2 linked regions of the Saccharomyces cerevisiae S288C genome follow. The protein of the gene in region 1 binds, or shares a complex with, the protein of each later gene. Each region holds a gene or a part of one and is shown in the gene's direction. Other genes may lie near its edges.

Region 1 (2,790 bases):
AAGATAGTGATAAGATAGGCATGATAATGGATTTCCTTACTTCCCCAACTTTTTGCTCTCTTGCATTTGTCTGTTTGTCGGATGATTAATCACTGTTTTTCATTTATTAATCATCGTTTTTCTCGCTTTTTGCCCGTATTGGAATGTGAAGAGAAAAAAAAAATGATAAGAATTCTAAAAAAAGATACTCTTCGTTCGAATGGATGACTCTAAGAAGGGTAACAGACTTTCAATCTTCAAATAACATTATAATCTCTATTCTAGCCCTTAGAGGAGCATGTCATGCGTTCAGAACCTCCATTAATAGCTTACTTTATAACTTTCTATCAGTCACAAGTTAAACGTCGACAATTTTTGTGGGAAATGGTCTGTTTTTTTTCTTCAGTTAATAAATCTCGTTCTTGACTGCAGGTAATTAATGGTATCGTGATCGTTACCTATGCTTACACACTATAAGAATTTTCTTCGTGAGAATTGGCCCATTTCTCTGGTTCTTCTGAAGAGAGTTTTGCTGACCATCAATCAGCTTTACGAAAATTTACCGCCCAATTTCTTGCCAAAATGCCATCCATATTCCCATTCATTGGAATTCTTTCACTATTTTATCATTTCAATGTTCTTTGTAGCAACAGGCTCTTCTTTTTCACGCTTACTGTGATCATTTGTTATAAGTGCTGGTATTTTCTCTCTTCTGGAATTCCGTGCTATTGATATCACGACATGTGCGCTTCTCATGATTTTGCCGCCCAAGGCACATTTTGCCGTCTGTTTTTAACCTAATATTTATGTCGCGGGTATATTATCATATATTGCGTAAGAGGATGGTATTGCTGATGGGAAGTGGTCAACAAATTCAATAGGCACTGAAATGTAAGGGCTGACAATGTAATTGGATAAAGAAAGGCAACACATGAAAGGAAGAAAAAAAAAACGTTATTTATTATTATGTAAAACTATTGACCTCACCTTTGTGATTCACGCTGTCCTCGTGAAAAAACTTTTTTTGTTTTTGTAGACCTAATAAAAGAACCTTTTTTAACAATGTCCTAACAATAATTTCAACAGTTGCCAAACCTCAAATAGTGTTGGAATAAAAATCCACTATCGTCTATCAACTAATAGTTATATTATCAATATATTATCATATACGGTGTTAAGATGATGACATAAGTTATGAGAAGCTGTCATCGATGTTAGAGGAAGCTGAAGTGCAAGGATTGATAATGTAATAGGATAATGAAACATATAAAACGGAATGAGGAATAATCGTGATATTAGTAAATAGAAATATAGATTCCATTTTGAGGATTCCTATATCCTCGAGGAGAACTTCTAGTATATTCTGTATACCTAATATTATAGCCTTTATCAAAAATGGAATCCCAACAATTATCTCAACATTCACCCATTTCTCAAATAGTATGTTTTGGTGTTAAAGAAGAACATTGGAAACAAAGGAAAGGTAAGCATTAGCCCGGAAACAAAACAAGAGGAAGTAATATACACCTTTTTGGTTAACTTGTTCGTTCAGAAGAGCCCAAGTATGTAATTATTTTTTGCAAATCTTTCCTCAGTAACGATAACGACACGAAGGTAATATTTTAAAACATTTATCAACAAGTCACTAAATATAATCTGGGTCCTATCACTATTAGAGCTTCTATGGCCAAGTTGGTAAGGCGCCACACTAGTAATGTGGAGATCATCGGTTCAAATCCGATTGGAAGCATTTTTTGCATTGATTTCCCAATTCGTAGCTGATGATCACCCTCTGAAGCTATCGGACATTTTTTTTCTTTAATTTTTTCAGCGAGAGAGCTGGCAGTGAACGTACAAGAGCAAGCTCTCTAAAGAACTATTACTCTCCTCGTTCCCCTCTCATGTCTTTTAACAGATAAACAAGCAAAAGAAGGAACTATCATACTTAGAAAAACATGTCTTTCTTAGGTTTCGGTGGTGGTCAGCCTCAATTATCATCTCAACAAAAGATTCAAGCTGCGGAAGCTGAACTAGATTTGGTCACAGACATGTTCAATAAATTGGTTAATAACTGTTATAAAAAATGTATCAATACTTCTTATTCCGAGGGTGAGCTGAATAAGAATGAATCTTCGTGCCTAGACAGATGTGTGGCCAAATATTTTGAGACCAATGTTCAAGTCGGTGAAAACATGCAGAAAATGGGCCAATCATTTAACGCAGCCGGTAAGTTTTAGAAATGTGCATTAAAGCAGTAATGATAAGACGAAAATAAGAAAAGAAATCCATAAGCTGTTTTACTCGACTCAACGTTATAATTAGTATTATTGATTCATATCCTGTATATACAAGTAACATTATACTCTTTTCTGTACTTCATCTTTACCTTTTTATCTTACATGGCACATGTTGTTTGAAAACAAGATCATAGGTGGATAAAGCAAGCCGAATCTAAAAAAAAAAAAATGTCTCTATTGGAAAACTGAATGCATAACGATATTCCCTTTTCATGCAGATAACACTGACTAGTTTCAATTTGAAACGCATCTTCGTGTTATTTCACCGAAACGCACTCGGCTCAGCATGTTAAAAAGCACATCAATTTAGGGCTCTGCGCGTCCTTCTGCGTATTCTTCCTTGTAGAAATGCAATTAAATGGAGAGCAGAAATTTTTTTGTTACATATTGTTTTCCTTAAAGGGAAATATTAAAAAATAGTCTAAAATGAAGAGGATAGTAGAATTCCACCAATTTCTTTACGTTTTATATTATTCGTAATCTTTTGATCTGTTATTCATTTTTTCTTGTCACT
Region 2 (3,960 bases), on another chromosome or scaffold:
TCAGCTGAGAAAAGCTATCTGGTACAGTATTATTGTGATTGTGAGAGTCGTGATTGGTACTATTACAGTACTGATCATGAAGGTTAAAATTTGGCATCAAGTGATCGTTCTTTACATCTGTGAATATTGCAACATCATTGCCGTTCTCAGATATGTCTTTCTTTGTCGGTTGATCAGATTCACCTTGTTTTATATTAGCCTCACTTTTGGGATGAGTTTCGTCACAACATATTTCCAAAATCTTGGGCGTACAATAACAATCATCGGATCCAGGTGGTGGGTTCGGTTTATTTTTCTTGGAAGAGGGCAGCAGTATCAGATCGTCGTTAAACCAAGAATCTTTTCTACGTGGTAGGTCGCTTTTAGAATTCTGTTGGGGACTTGTCGGATCAGAAGCTACCGAATGGAAATTGTTTGCAAAAGAATGATTATTAGAATTATACGTTGCAGTATCATTATATTTTGTTAATGACGGATTATTGTGATAATTCAAGAACTCGAAATGTTGGCAGTCGGTGTACTCCTTGCATTTCTCATTGACGTGGCAATCACCACCCATATCATGGCTAGCTCCAGATGCAAATGCGGAAGTAGCGGCATCAGCAACAGCTGCGGCTGCAGGTGTTGCCGAAGCACTACTGTCGTTCACAGGCGCGCTGTGGTGAAGGTGACCATGGATATAGGTCAGGTTGTTGTAGTTATGGATGTGCCCGTGGACAATGCCTTCTTTACCTATCGTCAGAGCATCAGGCTTGGCAGAAGCAGCAGTGGCCGCACTCGTGGCCATCGAGTCATCGCGCTTGGGGGAGTCCCTGGGAGTCAACGCATCCATTAGTTCCTATCCTTCTTCTATTTAAAAAACCGTAACACATAAAAAGTAAAAGTGTAATGCTTCCGTCTCGCCGCTGGCCTATATTCACAGTGACTGCAGTTGCATCTTATATTGCCAAGCACGTTTCATCATGACCTTTAGGGTAGATGACTGCTGTCAACTACTCCGTCTGCAGTGATATATAATCATGTTTTGGGCGTTTAAGGAAGGAGAATTATTTCCAACAGTTGAATAGGAAGATCCCTAGAGTAAATCGCAGGCAATCCAGTACTAAGAAACGGCGATGACAATGGAAAAAAATGGAGGTAATAGCAGCCGTGGTGGCCAAGTAGGCGGCAAGTCTGTGTGTGTTTACTGCGGGTCTTCATTTGGCGCTAAGGCGCTATACTCAGAAAGTGCAGAAGAATTAGGAGCCCTTTTCCATAAGCTGGGATGGAAATTGGTATACGGTGGAGGCACTACTGGTTTGATGGGCAAGATAGCAAGGTCTACGATGGGACCTGATTTAAGCGGACAGGTTCACGGTATCATTCCAAATGCACTTGTGTCTAAGGAAAGGACAGACGAGGATAAAGAAGATGTTAATAAAGCATTGTTGGAGTCTGTAGAAAATCATAAGGGCGCCACTCCTATTTCTGAAGAGTATGGGGAAACAACGATTGTACCAGATATGCATACGAGAAAAAGAATGATGGCAAATTTGAGTGACGCGTTTGTTGCTATGCCTGGTGGATACGGGACTTTTGAAGAAATCATGGAATGTATCACGTGGTCGCAACTGGGGATTCATAATAAACCAATTATCTTGTTCAATATCGATGGGTTCTATGACAAATTATTGGAGTTCCTCAAACACTCTATTCAAGAACGGTTCATCAGTGTGAAGAATGGTGAAATCATTCAAGTTGCCTCCACTCCGCAGGAAGTTGTTGATAAAATAGAGAAGTACGTCGTTCCAGAGGGCCGTTTCAATTTGAATTGGAGCGACGAAGGTCACGCTCACGAGGATTGTGCTAAATAATAGAAACGTAAGTCATGTATCTAGTTTAAACGATCTGTATAGATAATGTGGTGAAAAATCCAAATTTTTAGGAGCTGTCTTTCTAAGCCCGAAGGCTGGAAAAAATAGTACTGATGGCAAAGACATCATAGCTTTAAAGTCCATTGTTCTCAAAAGAAGCTCAATAGACCATGTCTTCTGAATCAGGAAAGCCTATTGCTAAGCCTATTAGGAAGCCTGGCTATACCAATCCGGCTTTAAAAGCCCTTGGTATACCCGCCTTGAGGCTGCCTTCTCGAAACTGGATGATCTTTTGGTCTGTGTTAACAGTATCCATCGGTGGCATAGCCTATGACAAATACAAGCAACGTCAGATTCTGAGCCATGCAACAGACTTGGTGAAGCCTTTGGCAGAGGAGTCCATGGAGGTAGACAAAGTGCCACGAAAGATCACTGTTTTTATTGCACCTCCTCCAAATGATTATCTGGAGAGTTCGTTGAAAGTTTGGAGACGATATGTTAAGCCTGTACTGTATTATGCAGGGTTGGACTATGAATTAGTTCAAGAGGATAGGCAAGGGATTATTAGAACTAATGTAGCCAACAGAATCAGAGAATTGAGAAAGGAAATATTGGCATCGACGGATGGGCAGCCAGTTAAAGAGCCTAACCAAACGGTAGCAAAACCAAGTGGTTCTTCAACCAGTAAAATTTCATCACTACTACCGTTCAATAAAATCATTCAAGATCCTGCTGAAGAAGATGACTCGTTTGATCCAGAAATCGGTAAAAAGTTCAAGGAGAACTTCGACTGGAGAAACGTTATAGGTATCTTCTATACAATGCCAAAACCGAAGCATATAATAAGTGAAGACGCCCTGACAAAGGACCCTATATTATCTGGTGGTGTTATTTGTTTAGGTAGAGGCGCCTATAAGGAGTACATTGCCGGTATTCACGAAGGCTTGCTTGGACCCATCGAGAAGACCGAAAAAACAGGATCCACTGAGCCTAAGATGACTGGGGTTGTAGAAGCAAATCAAATAGAATCAAAGGTAAGTGAATCCGGTGCTACGGAACTGGTGGATGCCGAGAAAGAGACTGCTTTGGAAGAGGCCAAAGTACAAGATGATCTAAAGGTTGATGAAGAAAACAGCTCAGAGGATTCGCAAAAATTTTTGAAGCCATTTATTTCTTCAGACCAATACCCTGACCTGCAAATCGCTTCGGAATTACAAACTCCAAATGGCGAATTCATAAGAAACCCCAATACAAATATCCCGCTTCTGATTAATCAGCCGTTATTGGTCATTCCAATACCTAACTTGATAGGTTTTACTACCATTCCAAGGAGAATACATCGTTTTTACCAGAAGCGTTTCTACGTAGAGGACGTGTGTTCAAGTGTAGTTAACTGTGTTCGACAAACCCGTATAAGACCGTTTGATATTGCAAAGGATATTGATTTGGCGAAGGACGAAGAAAAAGATTGGCCACAGAACTGGGTCAAACAGGGTAAAGAAAAGAACAGCGAATGGACCCAAGAATTAGTATGTGATCCTAGAATCACGAAGCATATGTTTGTTTACGAAAAACCACCCAAGGAAGAGCCAGAATCAGATATTTAATTGGATATATATTATGTTTTATCATCATGCACGATCGACGTTATGTCTGACATATACCAAACCCTTTTCGAAGATTTCCCTTTACTCATGTTGAAATAGTTTTTATATATGCACACATATACATATATATAAAATCTGTAAATATAATAAAATGTGTACATTGTAAAAGAATCCAAGCACAACTATTATTAGCATTATGAGTATTTTTTTCAAGCCGCCGATTGATATTGAGATCCTTTTCGATAATGAGGAATCTCGCAAACACGTAGACATTGCAACAAGATCAAGTAATTCCAGTTACAAATCAATGAAGGAAAGCTTGCCCGTCTATGAAGATGGCGAATCCCTTGGTGGAATTGTTACTTTGAGAGTTCGGGATAGTAAAAAGGTAGACCACTTGGGCATAAAAGTGTCCGTTATTGGATCCATTGATATGTTAAAATCTCATGGGAGCGGTAATTCATCTTCTAAAAAAGTTACCTCTAGCACATCATCTTCCT

Evidence for each region.
Region 2: the proteins of TIM10 (region 1) and TIM54 are in contact, whole or in part, in a cryo-EM structure (PDB 6LO8), measured with the Saccharomyces cerevisiae proteins. Residues at the interface, in NP_011869.1 of Saccharomyces cerevisiae: Glu53 (codon at 2,091), Leu54 (codon at 2,094), Asn55 (codon at 2,097), Lys56 (codon at 2,100), Asn57 (codon at 2,103), Ser59 (codon at 2,109), Ser60 (codon at 2,112), Arg64 (codon at 2,124); in NP_012481.3 of Saccharomyces cerevisiae: Leu73 (codon at 2,240), Ala74 (codon at 2,243), Glu75 (codon at 2,246), Glu76 (codon at 2,249), Ser77 (codon at 2,252), Tyr115 (codon at 2,366), Gly118 (codon at 2,375), Leu119 (codon at 2,378), Asp120 (codon at 2,381), Tyr121 (codon at 2,384).

The regions. Positions count from the first base shown.
Region 1 is NC_001140.6:115,046-117,835, reverse strand, and holds TIM10 (protein transporter TIM10), read left to right. Parts: upstream 1-1,934; coding exon 1,935-2,216; downstream 2,217-2,790. Other genes in the region: STP2 (Stp2p), read right to left, coding at 1-22. UniProt on the Saccharomyces cerevisiae protein: Mitochondrial intermembrane chaperone that participates in the import and insertion of multi-pass transmembrane proteins into the mitochondrial inner membrane.
Region 2 is NC_001142.9:332,242-336,201, forward strand, and holds TIM54 (Tim22-complex subunit TIM54), read left to right. Parts: upstream 1-2,023; coding exon 2,024-3,460; downstream 3,461-3,960. Other genes in the region: ZAP1 (Zap1p), read right to left, coding at 1-832; LOG1 (Log1p), read left to right, coding at 1,116-1,853; retromer subunit PEP8, read left to right, coding at 3,657-3,960. UniProt on the Saccharomyces cerevisiae protein: Essential component of the TIM22 complex, a complex that mediates the import and insertion of multi-pass transmembrane proteins into the mitochondrial inner membrane.